Mytilus edulis: one gene and its partners. The protein of the gene in region 1 binds, or shares a complex with, the protein of each later gene. Links are inferred from orthologs where the notes say so. Each region holds a gene or a part of one and is shown on either strand. Other genes may lie near its edges.

Evidence for each region.
Region 2: protein virilizer homolog (region 1) and N(6)-adenosine-methyltransferase non-catalytic subunit METTL14-like share a complex: the UniProt entries of both Drosophila melanogaster proteins name them as parts of the WMM complex. The link is inferred for Mytilus edulis from reciprocal best matches to the Drosophila melanogaster genes vir and Mettl14.
Region 3: protein virilizer homolog (region 1) and RNA-binding protein spenito-like share a complex: the UniProt entries of both Drosophila melanogaster proteins name them as parts of the WMM complex. The link is inferred for Mytilus edulis from reciprocal best matches to the Drosophila melanogaster genes vir and nito.

What each region holds. Positions count from the first base shown.
Region 1 is NC_092348.1:85,678,883-85,685,808, forward strand, and holds the start of protein virilizer homolog, read right to left. Parts: upstream 3,036-6,926; 5' UTR 2,979-3,035; coding exon 2,913-2,978; intron 1,743-2,912; coding exon 1,630-1,742; intron 100-1,629; coding exon 13-99; intron 1-12. UniProt on the Drosophila melanogaster protein: Associated component of the WMM complex, a complex that mediates N6-methyladenosine (m6A) methylation of mRNAs, a modification that plays a role in the efficiency of mRNA splicing and is required for sex determination.
Region 2 is NC_092352.1:28,718,897-28,726,781, reverse strand, and holds the start of N(6)-adenosine-methyltransferase non-catalytic subunit METTL14-like, read left to right. Parts: upstream 1-4,832; 5' UTR 4,833-4,906; coding exon 4,907-4,972; intron 4,973-7,885. Other genes in the region: putative uncharacterized protein DDB_G0279653, read right to left, coding at 1,774-2,134, 2,334-2,749. UniProt on the Drosophila melanogaster protein: Non-catalytic component of the WMM complex, a complex that mediates N6-methyladenosine (m6A) methylation of mRNAs, a modification that plays a role in the efficiency of mRNA splicing and is required for sex determination.
Region 3 is NC_092344.1:101,822,136-101,829,916, forward strand, and holds the start of RNA-binding protein spenito-like, read right to left. Parts: upstream 3,071-7,781; 5' UTR 2,796-3,070; coding exon 638-2,795; intron 1-637. UniProt on the Drosophila melanogaster protein: RNA-binding protein that acts as an associated component of the WMM complex, a complex that mediates N6-methyladenosine (m6A) methylation of mRNAs. M6a modification plays a role in the efficiency of mRNA splicing and is required for sex determination.

The DNA of each region.
Region 1 (6,926 bases):
TAGCTAACTTACACTCCAAGACTCTCAAAGGTAGCTGCATTAGGTTTACTGAGGTTGTTGACAAATAGTTCTAACTTGAATATAGATGGGTTAGTAGCCCTGAAATAAAATAAAAAAACAAAACTTAAGAATACTGTGGATTCAATTGTTTTTTTGGATATCAATTTTCATGGCTTAAGGAAAAACTGTTTCATCATTGATATCATATTTCATGGTTTTAACAAGCTCTTCTTACCAAGACTAAACAAAATTTGCAATTAGTCAAACATTTAAATCCCAGGTTCACCTATACCACTAAGTCATTGATTTTTTTATTCAACAATTAATAATCAATCCAAAGTAGAGAAGAATCACTTTAAGAACAGTATTTCAAGGAGTTTCAAAATGAAAAATAAAACCTTCCTAGATCTACATGTACATACATATGTATATATAGATGTACATAACTTAATAATTTCATGTCACAATTTTTTTTTGTATGTGTTTAACGCCATTTTTAGCAGCATTGGCAATATCATGATGGTGACTGATTCTTATTGGTAGAGGAAGCTTGTGAACCTGGAGAGAACCATACAACTATATATGTCAATCATTTGTTTAATATGAACAGGGTAGTTTTGAATGGAATTTGAATCACCATGTTAAAAGTGGACAGGCTAGTGATTACTGTAAATGAACTAAATTTTGTACTATGATCACTCTGAGGACCAACTGTCACAATTGAAATAGTAAGGAAAACTTTCTGCTGATAGTTACAATGTAGGTACATGTATTTTCATTGCCATGTTATCATTTTCATTTTTTTTTGCCTAGTCATGATAGTAGTATAAACCCTTCAAATATTTGAAATTTCTTGTTTCAATAACCAATCCCAAGGAATACAAATATATGTATAGATTTAACAGGTTATGAATGTTTTAATTGTTATGTTCTGTTTTCAAACTTTTAATACCACTTTACCATGTTTACTGAACTGCAGATCTAGAGTATTTTTAATATTTGTAAAATTTGGCTTTGTAAAAAAAGTTCTTCCCTTTAAACTAATATTGTTTTTCTTTTCGAATACTGCATGGGATGAATAAGTGCTGCTACAGGTACATGGTTGTGGGGATGATTTCTTATTATCTAACTAAACTCTAATAAATATTAAAACAACAGCTTTGCATTTTGGTGTATACTAGTTAAGAAGAAAAGATAAGATGACGTCAACCTTGGATACAATGTTACTTCCGAGATGTTGCTGGTTATGCTGTTTTCTCAACACTTTCAGGGCTTCAAAAAAGTATTATATGCAGAAGAGAAAATTGAAATACAATATATACATGTACATATAACTTAAATTAAATTTAGATTATTGTCATCTAAGAATACATGTAGTTGTCTTTTTCTAGGCAAAATATAAGGTGACATTGATCTTGGATACAATGTTACTTCTGAGACGTTGCTGGTCCAGAGGTCTTCTGGACAATGGTCAACACAGTGAACACACTGTATGTTGCATTGTTGTATTCAAGACATGGAAGTACATTTTATTCCTTTTACTAATAGTTTGTGTACATGCATATGTCTCTAATCATCAAGATCATTATTCTGATCCTTTATCTTTTACTTGATGTACATGTAGCTTACCCTAGCCTAACACCTCCTGGTACATCTGCTTCAACTTTGGTTTGCAGGGGTATTACCCTGATTTCCTGAATAATAACTGGCCTTGGAAACTGTACCAAGTCTAAATTTAACTCCTATAAAGAGAATAAAAGAAAGTGAATACAAATTCTCCAGTGTGAAGAGGAACACTGTGGGGAATATAAAATTTGTTTAGTGTTAAAGTAAAATATTCAATGCATTGATTCATGCAAGGTAGGGATTTTTTGCATTTGTTAAAGGGTACAAAAAGCATCCAAAGTGGAAATGGTTGTGACCTATAAAAAAATTGTAGGCCACCTTCTTCTATTTATATAGATAATCACCCTTCCCATGGATAGAAACAAGTGTCTGTGCCCAATCGGATAATTATTAAATCAATTAATTCATATTATATGTGATGAACCATGATGTTGATCAAACTATGACAAAGCGGTTTCTAATGAACAGCTCATGAATAAATGTGTACATATTTAAAAATAATTTAAAATGATGCTTTGACACAAATCCATCGATGCAACTAAAAAGATAATAAATGTAATATTTTTTAGATCCAGTTTCATTTTAAGGTTCATCATAAGGAATTGAAAAATATGGCCGTGTTTACACCTAAAAAATTACTATGAGTGCAGACAAACTGGTACATCCAGGAAAGTTTTAAGGCATGGCAGGAACTAGATATATAAAAGTTATACGAAGTCTACGTTTCAGAAAATTAAAAACTTACCTGGATTTTCATGTCCAGTTTTTTTCAGTCTGCAGAAGATAGCAAAATAAACAAACACCCGAGTTTCATTTGATACGGTCCACTCAGTTACACAGTTTAAATCACCTATTGTTTACAGGTGTCTATTGTCCATCCATTGTCCATTTAAATCAATACTACTCACAACATTGATTATATGAGGGGAGCTTCTCAATCGTTTTCACTACTTAGTTAATTTTTGCACCTTCTGCAGGAACGAAAAAAACTGGAAGGCAAAATCTAGAAAAGTTTATAATTTTCTAAAACATAAAATGCATTTAAAATTTATATACCTAGTTCCTGCCATCCCTTAAAACTGTTGCAAGTGCATAGGTTAGTCTGTACCCAGAGTAAAATTTGGGGTGTAAATACGGCCATATTAGCCAAAAGGTTATGATGAACCTTAAAAATAATAATACACGTCAAATGCGGCTATTTTATGTTGCATTTAATGGATTTATACACGAATGAAAGTTATTTGTGTTTGATACTGGAATAAATACACTCTTTATAAACCATATACCTCAGCGCTTTCGTGAGAAAACGTATCAAAAAACAACAACTCGGGTTCCTGCCCGGTGTCAGCCATTTTTTGGAAATAGTAAAAAATGGATCGAAGATGGTTTGGTACAGAAAATACGGAACGAGAATAATTGTCTTTGCTATCTCAATATTGTTAGGTGAATTGTCGTATTGTTTGTATTATAACCCACATTCCGTGTTATTTATATAACTCAGGTCAAAAGAAATATGCATAATAAAAACGATTAATCACAGTGGTCGAAAACTCCCACATTATTATTCCCAGAAATCTGTCTCTCATTGAAAAATGTTTTCCTATACAGTATACCTTTAATGATATATTAAGATATCATAGGCGGATCTAAGGGGGATCGCGGCCGGATCCCCCCCCCCCCCCCTTTTGTAGAAAAAAAATGAGTGATTATACGGTAAGTCAGTGGACCCCTTCTAAGAAGTTCTGGATCAGCCACTGGGTATAAAGTGTTTTTTTCCAGAGACAAAATTCCTGTGAATCACGACGGTGGAAAGATTGTATAATTCAAAAAATATAATATGTATTTAGGTATAGTGCGAGCAATAAAACATTTATAATATATAGCACTATTGTAAGCAGTTGCATTTTAATATATATTACTGCAGTTTTCAAAAATATATAACCAATTTGTCAGCGGATTGTCGTGAGTCAATATGATAGCAGATACTATTCATGATTGGCATAATGTGACAACTTTTCATATCATAATCAAACAGTATGTGCATTGCGGTCAGTTCATGTTTTAAATTTTCATCTATAAATAAAAACATCAAGATCAAGCACGTACATATGTCATTATTTTATACGTCTTTACATTGACATGTTATTTTCCTCTTCTTATAATTGAAACACTTAAATATGACACTCAGTAAAGCAGCAGCGTAAGAGTAGACTGAAAAGACACAGAGAAAAAGGGGGGTGGGGTAGTATTCTGTGAGATTGTATATTTGTTCTGCATAATATATGTTCCACATATATATGCATGGAACAAAAAAGTATGTTATAAAATTCCTGGAACTTAAATTACATGATATTTATTGAGGGTGAGGCAAAAAATATATAAATACTGTAAGTGGAGCATGAATCATCAATTAAATACATGGCATGGGCTGCGCCATCCGCATGATCCGCGAACGACCTAGATTAGAGAAACACATAAACGATATGAAAAGGCAAGCCAAGAGAAACCTTGGTTGATAACACTGAAATCTCTACATAGTCTGAAGATTCCTAAAAAGACAGGGTTATAAGATATACGTAAGACCAACAATGGAATATGCTTCGACAATATGCTACCCATATCAGTAAAAGCCCAAAGTAACAATCGAAAAAGTACAAAGACGAGCTAACTGCGCGGTGTGTAAGAAGAAGACATGGAAAAAGACCAAGTGACATCAACATGATACAAGAACTAGGATGGAAAAACTTACAAGCGAAGCACAAGGCAACAGGAATTTTTGTGTGCTGTACAATTTAACAAATGACCTGGTAGCTATAGACAAGAACAACAAAAAAATCTACAGAATCCAACAACAAGCTCTAATGGAACAGGAAATCATACATGATACATCAGTTATAGCTGACAACATATTGATTTATTTGTATTTGATTCTCGCAATTGCAAGCATATTTTTTAGCGGTATATAATAGTATTTGTTCTTGTACTCGTGATATTCTTTCCTGTTTGTTATATTTGAATGTTTTGTCATTAGAGAATTTAGTTTGATGTTATATTTGCTATCTACTCTTCAATCTTTATTTCATTTTTAAGACTCAGGTGATGTAGAGTTAAATATGATGTCTGTTGTTGTATAGTTGAAAATTATGATGCCTTGTAGATCGACGTCCTTCGAATATTTATTTTAGTACAGGTATTGTTCATATCTTTATATTCAGACTATAAAATAGTATCACAAAAATACCGAGCTCCAATGTACTTGAGTATATTACAAGTGGAGGTCTATAAAATACCGAGCTCCAATGTACTTGAGTATATTACAAGTGGAGGTCTATAAAATACCGAGCTCCAATGTACTTGAGTATATTACAAGGGGAGGTCTATAAAATACCGAGCTCCAATGTACTTGAGTATATTACAAGGGGAAGTCTATAAAATACCGAGCTCCAATGTACTTGAGTATATTACAAGGGGAGGTCTATAAAATACCGAGCTCCAATGTACTTGAGTATATTACAAGGGGAGGTCTATAAAATACCGAGCTCCAATGTACTTGAGTATATTACAAGGGGAGGTCTATAAAATACTGAGCTCCAATGTACTTGAGTATATTACAAGGGGAGGTCTATAAAATACTGAGCTCCAATGTACTTGAGTATATTACAAGGAGAGGTCTATAAAATACTGAGCTTCAATGTACTTGAGTATATTACAAGGGGAGGTCTATAAAATACCGAGCTCCAATGTACTTGAGTATATTACAAGGGGAGGTCTATAAAATACCGAGCTCCAATGTACTTGAGTATATTACAAGGGGAGGTCTATAAAATACCGAGCTCCAATGTACTTGAGTATATTACAAGTGGATGTCTATAAAACACCGAGCTCCAATGTACTTGAGTATATTACAAGTGGATGTCTATAAAATACCGAGCTCCAATGTACTTGAGTATATTACAAGTGGAAGTCTATAAAATACCTAGCTCCAATGTACTTGAGTATATTACAAGGGGAGGTCTATAAAATACCGAGCTCCAATGTACTTGAGTATATTACAAGGGGAGGTCTATAAAATACTGAGCTCCAATGTACTTGAGTATATTACAAGGGGAGGTCTATAAAATACCGAGCTCCAATGTACTTGAGTATATTACAAGGGGAGGTCTATAAAATACCGAGCTTCAATGTACTTCAGTATATTACAAGGGAAGGTCTATAAAATACCGAGCTCCAATGTACTTGAGTATATTACAAGGGGAGGTCTATAAAATACTGAGCTCCAATGTACTTGAGTATATTACAAGGGGAGGTCTATAAAATACTGAGCTCCAATGTACTTGAGTATATTACAAGGAGAGGTCTATAAAATACTGAGCTTCAATGTACTTGAGTATATTACAAGGGGAGGTCTATAAAATACCGAGCTCCAATGTACTTGAGTATATTACAAGGGGAGGTCTATAAAATACCGAGCTCCAATGTACTTGAGTATATTACAAGGGGAGGTCTATAAAATACCGAGCTCCAATGTACTTGAGTATATTACAAGTGGATGTCTATAAAACACCGAGCTCCAATGTACTTGAGTATATTACAAGTGGATGTCTATAAAATACCGAGCTCCAATGTACTTGAGTATATTACAAGTGGAAGTCTATAAAATACCTAGCTCCAATGTACTTGAGTATATTACAAGGGGAGGTCTATAAAATACCGAGCTCCAATGTACTTGAGTATATTACAAGGGGAGGTCTATAAAATACTGAGCTCCAATGTACTTGAGTATATTACAAGGGGAGGTCTATAAAATACCGAGCTCCAATGTACTTGAGTATATTACAAGGGGAGGTCTATAAAATACCGAGCTTCAATGTACTTCAGTATATTACAAGGGAAGGTCTATAAAATACCGAGCTCCAATGTACTTGAGTATATTACAAGGGGAGGTCTATAAAATACCGAGCTCCAATGCACTTGAGTATATTACAAGGGGAGGTCTATAAAATACCGAGCTCCAATGTACTTGAGTTTATTACAAGGGGAGGTCTATAAAATACTGAGCTCCAATGTACTTGAGTATATTACAAGGGGAGGTCTATAAAATACTGAGCTCCAATGTACTTGAGTATATTACAAGGGGAGGTCTATTAAATACCGAGCTCCAATGTACTTGAGTATATTACAAGTGGAGGTCTATAAAATACCGAGCTCCAATGTACTTGAGTATATTACAAGGGGAGGTTTATACCGAGCTCCAATGTACTTGAGTATATTATAAGGGGAGGTCTTTAAAAACTGATCAA
Region 2 (7,885 bases), on another chromosome or scaffold:
AAAGGGGGATAACCATAAACCGGTCAAATATAGACCTATCTCATTAACTTGTATATTCTGCAAGTTAAGGGAACACATAGTAACATCACATATTATGAAACATCTCGAATCAAATAACATCTTGTATGACCTCCAACATGGCTTTCGGCACTCTTGATATTGCGAGACATAACTTTTCTCCTTCATCTAAAAACTTCAATCCACAAACAATTCAAATACACAAAGAAACCTTGTAATAATGGACTTTGCGAAGGCCTTTAATAAAGTTCCGCATCGTCACTTAGTTACTTTACAAATTACACTACTAAATATTTTGGCATTAATGGAAACACTTTAAACTGGATCTCTGCATTTCTCTCCGATCGAACCCAAACAGTTGTTCTGGATGGAAGATCATCAAGCACAGTCCCAGTCACCTCTGGGGTTCCACAAGGTACTGTCTTAGGTCCAGTATTATTCTTGGCTTATATTAATGACCTTCCAGACTACCTTACAAACTAAGATTACTTGCTGATGACAGCATCATATATATGCCAGTTAAATCCTAGAGTGACTGTTTAAAACTGCAAGCTGACCTTGATGCAGCTGCAAAATGGGAGGAGGACTGGATGATGGCCTCCCACCAAGACAAGTGTAATGTTCTCTCTGTCACAACTAAACGTCAACCTTTACAACATAATTACACTCTTCACAATCATATTTTAGAATCTGTTACATCTGCTAAGTACTTACATTACAATCAAACCTTAAATAGGACAAACACATAGATGACAATATCTCGAAAGCCATCAAAACACTCTGAACAACACTCAATTCAGTAGCTTCCTGTAAAATGTTTATGATATCAATTGCTTGTTGTTCTACATCAGTTTCCTTTTTGCATTTCAGTCTTCTTCCTCACTTGAATTACCTTTGGTTGGTAATTTTCTATGTTTTTTTCTTCCCATTTCAGAATAGTTTTCTTTTTGCTTGTTGTGCTGATCATCTAAGTTTTCCCCTTAACGATCAGGTTGTGTTTTGCCTTTACTGGTACATGTGCTGAACTGTTAAGTAGATGTTGGTCCATAATCGCTGAATCCAAAAGATTACTGCCTCTGAAGTTGTACTCTATCTGCGAGGTGGAATTTTTATTATGGTGATAAAAAGTAGGTTTGTGAGTATTTTTAACTATGCTTTTAATAGCTGATGTTGACTGCAGAAGTTCTTAAGCAAATTGTCATGGTTATTATTTCTACTTTGCATGAGTGTTCCATTCAAATCCCCCACTATGAAGACATTGTGTGTTTGCTCATATTTATCAATAATTGACGAAATTTTATCCAGTTGTTCTCTGTACTCTTTGTCTGATCCTGTTGCCATTGTTGGCATATATCTATTAATTAGGATTACTTTAACTGGTTCAGACTAAATTTCGATGACTATTCTTCTTTTTCTAGCTTCCTGATCTTATGTGAGATTGTTGGAGGCCATATAGTTATTACTCCCCCATTCCCCCTTCTTCTTTGTAGTTCCAAATCAACTAGATTATCATCAAAGCTTGAGATATGATAGTCGCAGTCTGGCAGAATTTCTTTTAGTGCGACTAATTCATATCCGTGTAACCAATGCAAGCATAGAATTGTGTTTGTTTTTAAAAGTTCTTTCAGATATACATTGCTGCCTTTCATTCTCTCAATGTTCATTGAGACAATGTCTAGCATTGTCTCAGTAGTATTTCGGTCTCCTGTCCAAGTTTTTGGATGTCTGGTGGTTCCTTTGGTTGGTCTATTTTCCCTAAAAATACTGTTTTGGCTTTTCTTCTTCTGTTGAATGTTGAGGAAGGTTCATTGAAGGATGGTCAACATGTTGATTATTAGGAACTGTTATTTCAGTGTCAGGAGTTGCAGTAATTGTTGGTGTTTCTTTTAGGTTTTGTTCTTCATTTAGCAGAGACTCTGGATTTGTAAGTTTATCAAATGCTTGGGTCAGTTTAATTTCTGTTTCGGCATGACTTAGCGGACTTGAGCTACCTTCTGATTTGGACTTTTCTTTTCTTTGCCCATTATCACTGTGTCTTTCTACTGATATTTTGTTATGGTTATAGAGATTACTATTCTGTTGATAAGGTGGTGGTGGCACTCTCGGCAGTCCTTGTCTTAGTAGATCATCGTGATGCACTGAGTTGTAGTGTAATTAATCAATTTGACTGACTTGGTCTTGCCTTGAATAAAACTGGAGTTGACCGTTTAAATAAGATTGACCTTGTCCATTAGTATAGGGATCATTTTGATGTCGACTTTTTCCAGAGTTGTACCCTTTTGTTATCATTTTGCTGATGTTGTTCAGAGTTATACCCTCTTGGATCATTTTGAAGATGTTGATTTTGTCCAGAGTAATACCCTCTTTGGTCTTTTTGTTGTTGCCGATGTGGTCCAGAGTTAAATCTTCTCAGATGATTTTGGTGAATTTGACTTTGCTCTGAGTTATATTGATACCCTCTTGGATCATTTTGTTGATGTTGACCTTGCCAAGAGTTCAAACATCCTGGGTCATTTTGATGTTGTTTTTGATTTTGTCCAGAGTTAAACCCTCTTGGATCAGCTTGATGTTGGCTTTGTTCAGAGTTATACCTTTTTGGATCCATTTGATGTTGATTTTGTCCAGAGTTATACCTTCTTTGGTCATTTTGATGTAGAATTTGTCCAGAGATATACCCTCTTGGATCAGTTTGATGTTGGATTTGTCCAGAGTTATACCCTCTTGGATCCATTTGATGTTGATTTTGTCCAGAGTTATATCTTTATAGCTGCTTTAGCCTCATATCCATCATTTGCCCATGCATTTCTTGTTTTATCTGTTTTTGAAGCTCATCTCTCATTTGATCTATATTGCTTCTATTCAGATTTTCTTGTTCTATATTTGGTTGCCTTTTCATGCTATTGATGTTATCTGCTGGCTGTCCATTACTTTGAATGATCTCCGTGTTTTTCTTTAGTAAATCTATTGTTTTGTCTTGATTCTTAATGCGCTATTCTAATGAGCTTATATAAGCTATCTGTTCTAATTCAAGTTTCCGGTTTTGCTGGTTTTTCTTGTTGCTTCTTTTAACCGTTTGTTTCTGGTTCTGTTTATCTATATTTCTATTGTTTCCATATGCACTTAAAATAGCACCTTCCAATGGCTGAGTTTAAAACTGAGGTTTGCTCCTCCACAGGGTGCAGAGATTGTCTATTCATTGTGTCTGATTCTCCCACAGGATTTAAACATATTGATGGGAGCAGTTTTTACCACAGAACACCACAGAATACCAAAGAAACACCATAGAATACCTCATATTTTCCTGGCATTACAAAAATTCTGAAAAACATGAACCCTCACAAAGCCACCGGTCCAGACAACATTAATGGTTGAGTTCTAAAAGAACTACACAAACAAATAGCACCAATACTGCAGCTCATATTCAAAAAGTCATTTCACGCTAGGCAAACTCCAACATACTGGATGCATGCTAACGTCGCTCCAGCTTTTAAAAAAGGAGATAAACACAAAGCAGTAAACTACCGACCTATTTCATTAACTTGCATCTGTTGCAAGTTAGGAACACATAGTCACAAAACATCTTATGAATCACCTCGAAAATAACAACATCCTCTATGATCTCCAACACGGCTTCCGAAATTCACGCTCATACGAAACTCAACTTCTTTCCTTCATACAAGAATTATCAGAAACAGACAATAAAAATTTCAAACAGATTTAGTTATTATGGATTTTGCTAAGGCATTTGATAAAGTTCATCACCGAAGACTTCTCTGTAAATTACAGTACTACGACATCTCTGGACAAACACTAAACTTGATAAAAGCATTTCTTTCCAACCGTACACAAACTGTTGTCATAGATGGAAAGTCATCCTCCCTGTCACTTCTGGTGTTTCACAAGGTACTGTATTGGGCCCTGTCTTGTTTCTGGTCTACATTAATGACCTGCCAGACTACTTGACCCACAGCATGCTCAGGCTATTCGCAGATGATACCATAATATACAGACCGATCAAATCCCAGAGTGACTGTGATAATCTCCAAGTAGATCTAGATGCGGCAGCTAGTTGGGAGAGGGACTGGCTGATGGCTTCAGTCCATCCAGATAAATGTACTGTGCTATCTGTCACCAAAAAGAAACGACCTATACAGCACAACTACATTGTAAATGGTCATACACTGGAATCAGTCACATCAGCTAAGTACCTTGGTGTCACAATACAGTCAAACCTAAAGTGGGATAAACATATAAATGACATTACATCCAGAGGCAACAAATCACTGGGTTTCCTACATATTCATACATCAAAAGAGTCCTACAGACATTCATACTTTCCATATTCAATATCACAGTGTAACCAGCTCCCTGTGGTACCAGGCACCATCCATTGATAGCTTCAAAGAACAGCTCACTTCAGCTGTTCTCTGTCTATTAATAAAAAGCATCAATTTAAATTGTATATAGTCATGATAGTTTTAATCACAAATTTGACATTTTATTGCACTTTAATTATATTTCGTTTAAATTGGGGTAAAAAATTGGTAAATAGTCCACGTATGCGAACTGTATGTAATCATCGAAGTCGATGGAATATTGTATACCTAAAGAAGAAGAAGATAAGTGGTGTCCTTTTATCGAACGTTGCTACGCACGATTTAAGAAATAAAATATTGGTATTTAGATATAAACGTAAAACGTAAAAACAAATGTCTTTTTATTTTTTCACTACTTTCAATGTCTTTTTTTGTATGGAAAAGTGATATTTTTCACTATCGAATGAACACGTTGACTCCTATGGAATAAGTTTGTTATAAGTAGTTGTCGTAAAAGTTCAATCGACTGGTATATTTAGGTACCAGACAAACCCAGCTAGTACGCGGAAAATATGGGTGATAGATTAAAAGAGCTGCGAGAAAGATCACAGAAAAGAAAACAGCTGCTTGCACAAGCAGTAAATGATTTTTAATCTCAATTTTTAAAATGAAAACTATGAAAGATTCAGTTGTTTACTGTTCATCCTTGTCTTTTGTTGAATGTTCTTAAACTTTCACTTTGATGAAAACAAGGATTTGTATAGCTATAAATCTTACTAAACAAATCCTTGTCATGAATAACTTCGGCTCTGTGAATTTATCATATCAATAATTTGTCTGCCATTACTGGTTTCAACAAAGGTTCCCTTAAAATTGTGACGTCTTTAAACAATAAACCTTATCGTTATTTGTTCGCCATTTAATACTGGACATCACACAGGATCCATTAAAATTTGACGTCATAATACAAAATACCTGTTGCCACCATGGAAAAGAGATTGTTGTATGACGTCAACAGGGCTCACACTACTTCAGAATTATAGGGAGAAGTGACTTCTCTTTTTGAAACTGATAGGGAGAAGTGGTGAGATTTGAAAGAGAAGTGCTCATTTGCATGGTACGCTACAATGTTTGGATTTTACAATAGTATAAAGGGCCATATGTAAATAATGTTCTTTTTATATTGTTCAATTCATACCTGAGTAAAAAAATTACAATTAAAGTAACAATTGAAATTAAAAGTTGTTTAAGTTTTACTAAGTAAGTTCTTGTGGGAAACTATCAACTAATTATCTAGCACTAAAAAAAAAAACAATTTTAAAAATGTAAAGAAATTATGATATATCAATTACAATTTAATTAAAAATTATCTTGTGTATGAAATTCAGTGTTTTTCATAAAAAAATATAAAATTTATTAAGCTGGGCCATAATATATTGATATTAGTATAATAGTCTCAGAGTTAAGCAACTTTAATCAATAGTTTAAAACAATCCATAAAAAATATAGGGAATTATATACACCAATCAATTAGATGTAACAAAAAGTCTCTTAATGCGAGTGGAATGCGTAATTTTTCCCTTTGGGATCAATATTCTTCTGTCAGCTGTTCCATCCGTGCGTCCGTAGTAATTATTGTAAAAGTACGGATTTCGGTCATAGCTTGTCCGGTTCAGATCAGTAGTTTAGAAATCGGTCAATGGCGGACGAATGAAAGAAAATTTACAAAAATAAACGATGTTTGACAAGTTATTTGGAAAGGAACATGACGTTTTTAATGCAATAAATGGATTAAACATTTACCGGAGGCAACCTTTATCACGTTTAAATGAAGTAACAAACTTATTTTGCCGCCGAAATTTAGGTTAATGTACGTTTTTGAGTAACAAGCCCCGGAACTTGCGGAGATGCACGAAGTGATAAAAAGTTGTATTTTTATCAAATAACCTGCTACACACTGCAAAGACAATGCTTCAACCTCTTTTCTAAAGATAATGAATCGTTTATGTCTGAATTTCTTTAATTATCAATAAAAAATTGATGTTTCATCAACTTGGTAAAAATTGAAAATTATGTCCGATGACGAAAGCGACTGAAAGCGAGTATCGTCAAGAACAGGGCGACTTGTTTTCGCTTTTGGGGGTTGGGGAAAACGGAGTGACGGTCGGGAAGGCGACTTCTTCGCCCAAGTCGCCTGGTAGCGTGAGCCCTGGTTGATTTTATACATTTTTTAGCCATCTGTACCTATATACAGGAATAGATATTTTCATGTGCCTTATAAAGATCTTTCTGAGTCTAGATAATCCACTATTTTTTTAACACTTATTACAATGCTACTTTCATTCTCGTCAAGCTGAAAAAAGTGGATGTTCAAAAGTCGGAACAATCATTGTTCATAGTTAAAAAATCCTGTTTAATTCAAATATAAAATTTCAAATTGTGAGTTTAGATTATTGTGATTTTAACCCTGTCACATTATCATGATTATATAAGCTACAGTCTCATTTTAAGATATGAAGAATTCCTTTTAATTGTTTAACAGACACATGAACATATATATATATTGACAGGACTTGACACTACCTAATTGTAGCAGATTTCATCTTCGCGTCATCATTTATAAAGATACAATGTGGAAATGGACATGTGTTAAAAATGTACTTGCTATTATCCTAATAATTTCAGATAATATCAATAAAATGTCATTCAAACTAAGTTTTATAGTAATGTTAGTGCATTGAACTTGTAATCTGTCACTTCATAATTGTTATAAGCACATTCATATCATCACAGAAGGGTACAGAATACAAACCATTCAATCAAAAAATGTTGCTGATGGCATTCCAAAACCATTATATAACATTTCACATCAAATAAACCACACTTATCTTGGTAAATTTACATGACAAAATATATCTACTTTATGATAAGACTTATATTTATATATGAATTATGTGTTTAACTCATACATGTGAACCTCCCGACCGGAGTACAATAATCCCGTTTTCAGGGGTTTCCTCCCGTCCTCCAGTTTAGGAGAAAAAAATCCTGTGTATGAAATATTTTATGAATGGAAATTTTTAGCCGCCTTTTTTTGGGATACGATTGCTTTTAAGCAATCTGTAGACGTATACCGTTGGCTCAGGGCCATGCCCTCACGTCAACCGTTTTATTCTAAACATTAAGGAACATCTCAGATTCTTATGATTGTCTTGCTTTAAATGGTAAAAACAAACAAAGGGATTGAACTTTAACTTTCCTTCAATGTTCTTTTCATAATCTTCATGTTTGATATTTCCCTTGACTTATATGCATGTTTTTAACAACACAGAAAATCAGAATTAAGCAGTATTTATATTTAGTGTTTTTATAAATTTAGAAACATGTCAGAGGGAATTCCCCAGTTTTGATAAAAATGCGAGAGTTCTCTGAATTCCGATAAATCTATTTATAGATCATATACATGTAAGAACTGAAGTGGAGATTTTCTTATGCATGTTTTATGTCACCGTTATGAAACTGATATTTGATATTGTACTGCCATAAAGAAA
Region 3 (7,781 bases), on another chromosome or scaffold:
ATGTGGATTTATCAACAAATGTTTGTCTTTACAATAAACATCATTTAAAGTGTTGTTTAAAAACCAAACAAATGTAAAAGAATATTTGACCTTACTTAATTCCATTTCAATTATAAATGAACAATGATAACAAATTATACAATGAAGGAAAAATAAAAAGCACTGGCATGACTGGTAGTACAAAAATCAGGGGCGGATCCAGCCATTTTAAAAAGGGGGGGTTCCCAACCCAGAGTAAAGGGGGGGTTCCAGCTATATGCTCCCATTCAAATGCATTGATCGGTCAAAAAAAAGGGGGGTTCCAACCCCCAGAACCCCCCCTCTGGATCCGCACCTGAAAAATGTATTTAACTTTCCTGAATTGTAAAATTGTCATTCATCCCAGTCTGATCACTTTTAAAATATTCACAATATTTTTTCTAAAGTTTCAAAAATAAATATCATACAAATATTCTATATTTGACATAACGACAATCAGAAGAGAATACTGATAAATTATAAAGTAAGAAACAGATTAACTGAAGATTAAAAGTTATGTCAAAATTAGAATTAAGATCCATTTAACTTTTTTATATAAACATCTATAAATGTAAATTCTTAATTTAGAAATGATGTAAAAAAATATATTTAAATTAACCTGCGCCAGTAACAACTACTATGACCATATAATCATCTGGTACTAATTCACTTGGAAGATGGGTCGCTTTACTGGTCAAAAATTTGTAGCCAAATTCACATGGAGGAAATGCGTATAGAACACCAACATCATCTTTGTCCTTTGACTCATATGAAGGAAGGGAGATAACACCTGCTGCCTCTTTCTGTTTTAAGTAACTAACTAAATTTTTTAATGGTCTTTGTTGAACACTCGGGTCTTCATAGTTTTGAAGTGTGCTTGTCATAGCTAGCAAAATACAATGTCCTAATTTTCCAGCACTGGATACACGTTTTCCAACGTCTTCTAATTTAGGCTGGTCAAGCCTTAATCTCTGTTTGACCTTTAACACTGGTGTTTCTGTTGAATTAGGATCTCTCATTAGGGTATCAACAATGGTTACATTTCCACTTACAACATGCATTCTAGCAGGAAAAGCACTATTTTTCAAAATGACTGCACCATTCCATGCAACAGGTAAACACTTTGCAAGATCTGGTATTGAAGTTACATTTTCAATACCCATGTCTGAACTGTCAACTGAGTTCTTCCTTTCTTTCCTTGAATCGTCATGAGGATCAATTTCACCAAGTTCTCTTTCTTGTGAAAAAAGTGCTTTTTTCTCTCTTGATCTACCTCTAGACTCAGGGCCCTTACTAAACCTTTGATCAGGTGAAGTTGATATCTTCCTCCTCCTGTACTCGTCTGGAGATAAAGGTCTTTTTCTACCTTCTTCCCAACTACCACTATGTTTAAGTTCAATGTCAGGATTTCTATTATCATTTTCACGCCATTCTTCCCTTGTTCTACTTTCTTTACCTTCACGTCTTGATTCTTCATACAAGGAATTACCATCACGATGAGTGCTGTCTTGATTTTCGGGTATCATGATATGATTTGGATCTGCAAAATCAACCCGAAGACGTTTTTTATTCTCGGTTCCTCCCATTGGGGCACCACGCATTTCTTGACAAGCTGCTTGAGCAGCATCTAAATTATCATATAAAACATAGGCATAGTCTTTACCTCTAGGCCATTCTATTCTATTTATCATCCCAAATCGATCAAATTCTTGTTCAAGTGTTTCATGTGTAATCCATGAACCAAGACCACCAACCCATAAGCAAGTTGTTGCAGTCACTTTACCATAACCAATCTTACACTGAAACCTGCCAATATACTGGCCAGATTGTTCCACTTTGGCTTTGTGAGCACAGTCTAAATTTATGAACTTTATAAAGGCATAAGCATTTCCAGTGCCTCTTTGAGGTCTTTTTATATCGGTATCTTCTATTGTTCCATATCTCCCAAACACTGTTTTTAATTCTTGTTCAGAAATATTGTAATCAAGATTGCCTACAAATAATGTCCTGGTTGCATTTTCGTCATCCTCTGGCTGGATATGATCTAGATGATATGGGAATTTGTCATTTCGTTTAGGAGCATTATATGAGTCTCCTTGATTAAAATCTGGGGTTTCCCTTGGAGGCATGTTGCGAGGAGGTCCTTGGTAAAATCCACGACCAGATGGTCTTCTACTGCTAGGATATCCTCTAAAAGATCCCCTTCCTCTATAATTACTGCTACCATAATTGTCATGGCGCTCATAATGAAAATTATCGTTTCCGGGGCTATGGCTTCGTTTCTTTTGATACACAGCTTCTATTCTTACAGGACGATCAAAGAGAACAAGTTTGGATTTCAAATGTTTAGATTCACGTGCATCTTCTGGGTACCTGAAGTTTATATAAGCTACTCTAATATCACCACTATATGTAACATTAACATTGAATTCTCCAAATTTTTTGAACTCGTGATAGAGGGTCTCTTTCAAGACGGGAACAGGGATTTTCCCAGAGATATTACTTATACAAATAGATCTAAAGTCTGGTTGGTGTCTAGTATCAGGCCTAGAAGGTGGGGAATAATCCATTCGGTCATCTCTGTATTTAGCACGAGGACGGTCCATTTCATGATCAATGTTACGGTAAGATTTTTTCATAACCATGTCTCTGCGAGGGTCTCTTCGGTCGTACATATCTGGTGACATGCCTCTGCCCATATCATGATCTGACATGCGATATGATGACCTGGACCTTTTACTTATAGGGGAATGGTCTCTCATAGGTGAACGCTTCATTTTGCAGTATTATTTGCTTTCTTCGACAAAATCTTATTTCAGGACGCGATTCGTGTAGACATATTTCTTTCAACAGATTACTGCGCGTAAGTCAAAATATAATAACCTGTCATAATATTATTGGTTTTGCTCATGCATTTACCAGAGACAGGTACGAATACTTATATTTTATATCGCTGACACTTTTGAAACATTAATGTTTTTAGTATGTGTGTATCTATTTTGTGATCTATTTTGCGCTTCAAAATGTGATAATATGGTTGTAATTAGTACTTCCGGGGGCGTGGATGGTGGTTTGTAGAAAAGCATGATTATTGTCCGTATTCGTACCCGTCTAGCACTCATTTTTAAACATTCTTTTTTCCCTCCATATTTTTCGATAAGAATAGAAATATAAACAAAAATATCTGCGCTTTGAAGCAGGACAAATCGCCCCACAACAAATCACCAACTCGCCCCATTTAAAAAAAAATCGCTCACTTATAAAAAGGGTTATAATACGTTATTTCTTCTTCTTCTTCTTCTTCTTCTTCTTCTTCTTCTTCTTCTTCTTCTTCTTCTTCTTCTTCTTCTTCTTCTTCTTCTTCTTCTTCTTCTTCTTCTTCTTCTTCTTCTTCTTCTTCTTCTTCTTCTTCTTCTTCTTCTTCTTCTTCTTCTTCTTCTTCTTCTTCTTCTTCTTCTTCTTCTTCTTCTTCTTCTTCTTCTTCTTCTTCTTCTTCTTCTTCTTCTTCTTCTTCTTCTTCTTCTGGTATGAGATAAAAAAAAAACAAAAAAAACAAGATACATATTAAACATGCTGCAGGCTATTGGTTCAGGTAATTTGTTCCAGTCTTTTATAGTTTGGCAGAAAAATGAAAATTTGTAACTGTCTTTGCTGCATTGAATTTGTCGGTATGTTTGTTCGTGGCTAGACCTGGTGTTTGATTGGCTTTTAATTTATATGTCAGTATGTGGTATGACAATTTTGTTGTTTGTTATTCTATGGAACATATTTAATCTGCTTTTGAGTCTCCTTTCTTGTAATGTTGGCCAGTGAAGTGTGTTAATCATGTTTGTTACACTTTCAGTATATTTGTAGTTCGAGCATACATATCTAAATCATTTTTATTGGCTATGAGGTGGCGTGACTTAAATCATCAGGACTTACCGTTTTTATAAGTGGGAAGAATTAGCGTTCACGTCACGGAAATACTGATTCTCACTTCTTTCTTTTTTATTTCAACAAAAAGAAAAGAACTACAAAATAGATATAAGATGTGATATGAGTGCTAATGAGACAGCTCTCAATCCAAGTCACAATTCGTAAAAGAAAAACCATTATAGGTCAAAGTACGGTCTTCCACAAGGGAGCCTTGGATCACTACCGAACAGTAAGCCATACAGGCCCCAAAATGACTAGTGTAAAACCATTCATATCATTTAAAAACAGTGATAAGAAAAGTAAAAGCAACCCGGAAAAAGGAATCAAAGCCGCCATGCACGCATTTAGCACTAGCACAATCTAAAATTGATATTTACCAATCATGGTGCCTAAAATTTGCCATTTGTAACTTTCTTTTGTAGTAGAATGCCAAAATGTTTGGTTGTGTTTTTTCTTGTTTAATGTCTGTAAATACCCGACATCATTGACATGCGAAGGAAAGGTTCTAGGTGAAACAGAAGCAACGCTTTCTGTTTTTGTTTGAGTTTATCGGATCCCAGAGGTGGATTTAGGGCCGGGGGGGGGGGCAGGGGCCCGCCCCCCTTTTTTTGAAAAAAAGGTTGCTTATAAAGAGAATCACTGAAGCGTGACTGGAGTGGGCCCCCTCTTAGGCAGTCACTGGGCCCCACTTATGAAAATTTCTGGATCCGCCAGTGGATCCCAGTTCAAAAAAGCTGTGGCTAAACAAACTATATTTAGGAAACACACGAAAAGTAAAAATGCAAATAAATGTAAAGTTTGCCTTTAAGTAGACGCCACACCACAAATGCACAGAATCCAACGACTGACGTACTGTTAACTCGGGTTACTTGAATATCATAAACATATGGAGTACGATTATCCTATTTAATTAAAATACAGATCCGTGTCCGCCGACTCACAACGACTTATTATTTCATTATTTTTTCAATTCTTTATTAACCAAATGTTTTTCAACATATACTTAATTTAGATTACAAAATTGTACGATCATGACAAAACAGACAGAAATGTAAATATAATAACAAATAACAAATACATGTAACAATTGATTACATATCAACTTAAAAACAGTCATTTTAGAGCTTTGAACAGTGCTCTAAATATATATTTTCCTAACTTGCATAAGTCTTTTCAATCAGTCAGAAAGCACCTTTAAATTGTGGCCAACAAAAGACACAGTCAATTATAAAATTTAACAAGATTTATTATACAAAAGTTTACAAGAAGTATAACACCAATATTACTGTCAACTTTAAACTGTCAAAATATGAGTCCAGTCTTTTTTCTTTATCTGTATCCGGAAATCTTCTCAGAATCTAATCTGAATATTACGTTCACTACTAAGGTCACAATCCAGTCTGAGGTTGTTTGTAGAATAAAAGTGTGAATCAAAATGCTGTGAATACTAATTTCTATCGATGTCTAAGTCTGAGACTTTAGTGTCCGTATATGTATAGTTAGTGTAAACATATTTTATTAATTATATTCAGGTACATACATAGGCATTTACATAATAATACAAGTGAAATAATTAATAGGATCCAGAAACAAGCTCTTAGCTTATATTAATCCGTTTCCTAATAAGAACATTTCATATTTTAATACTCAAAGGGTAAAATGTTATAAAAAATAACAATGTTACACTAGATGGAAAGAAGAAATATGTATAGTTATCACGGAAATTTCTAGAAATGGAACGTCCTAGAAAGTTACAACGGATGTTTCTAGTAAAATGTAGAAGTTTAAATTACGCATCTTTTATTAGGATCCTTCTGGAATCATTATGTAAGTCAAATGGAAAGTTCCAATCATTCTGTGATTGTTCCAGTGATTTCTAAACTGTACAGTTATAAGACTTTTTTGTAAACAACTATCAGGCCACACAACACAAATTAGGCCAACATAAATAAATATAATAATTACAATATCATAACAATTTGTAAAGATTTATGAATAGATGGCTAACGCCAATAATATGGTTTTATCAAATTTTCACGCAATGCTGAATATGAAGGACATGATTAGATAAAATGCATTTCATCCTCTCTATATCATCTAGACACAATGTACAGATTCTAAGGTTTATATTTACATTAGAATACCTTACCTTTCCTATATAAATATAAGAAGATGTGGTGTGAGTGCCAATGAGACAACTCTCCATCCAAATAACAATTTATAAAAGTAAACCATTATAGGTCAATGTACGGCCTTCAACACGGAGCCTTGGCTCACACCGAACAACAAGCTATAAAGGGCCCCAAAATTACTAGTGTAAAACCATTCAATCGGGAAAACCAACGGTCTAATCTATATAAAAAGGAGAAACGAGAAACACGTATAAATTACATAAACAAACGATAACTACTGTACATAAGATTCCTGACTGCAAACATTTGCAGCGGGATTAAAGGTTTTAATGGTATCAAACCTTCTCCCTTTTTCTAAAATAATAGCATAACATCACAACATAGAAAAACACACGATAAATTATCAATTGACAGGCTTAACTCAATCAAAAAACGTAAATTAACAAACTATGAACTAATAATTTTGATCTGCGATATCTGCATGCAAATGCACAGTTAATAAAATATTAGGGACAAACATTCAAGGCCAAAAAGCAAACAAACAAGTCCAAACAAAGCCATGGCAAGACACCACTGCGAAATATCTAACCCTTTGAAAAAAATCACTTTTGAAAAAGCTATATTAGATGATGACAATCTAATATATTTGATCTGCGATATCTGCATGCAAATGCACAGTTAATAAAATATTAGGGACAAACATTCAAGGCCAAAAAGCAAACAAACAAATTTAGCAATACACTTTTGTAAATTTTGGGTATTGGTTTACATACATATGTGTGCAAAGAAAAATTTGATATCATATATCTACATGTATACAAAAAACATTTTGATGAACTATCTAAAGTAGCATCAAACTCTTGTTTGACAATGTCACACAGTCTCTGTTTATAACTATAATATGATGTTTGCATACAGAATAATCAGTTTGACGAAAACCACAAATCATTTTAAACTAAGGTGGAACAATTCTCCTCGTAGATTACAAACCCAGTTCTTATCAGTCATTTGGATTCTTCAAACAGATATCATATAAATAATTGTAACAACCAAGTAATATACAATTGTCGTAATTCAATACCTTAATCCAATATTTAAATTTACACAATTTCCTAGTGACTATGTTAAAGTTATTGACCAAGCAAGTCGGTATATATCTTTCAATCTGCGCGGCTCGGTGACCCTTATTAACCCGGACGACGTAGGAATTCGGTTTAAAGGGTCATCCGACCGTGCATATTAAATGATGTTTACCGATTTGATGATTGGCCAAAAACTGTTTTAACACACGACGCCATCAATTTACGTGAACGTTTTGAAAATATTCGGACGATATACCGCAATCCACGGCTCCTAGGAAAGTTTCTTGTAGGGTAAAGAAGACGAAATACGCAAATTAATGTAGCAAAAGATTGGTTAGTTTTAAATCATTACATGTAAATAAATATTGTCTAATATTACTAAATAAACAAAACATAGCTTCTCTGCCTGAAGTATTCAGCAACTTTTTTTTTGTGCAACAGAAAATGTTCCATTAAAATTAAGAACAAAGCTAGATAAGTAAATTTGTTAACTATATATCTATGTGTACATCATCATAAAACCATTTATTTTCTTCCTTTACTAACCCACCATTTCTAAAAAATATTGAAAATGTTTTCTTGGAGTAACAATCTACTCCATCATCATCCTCTCAGCTATGCGTTATTTTTT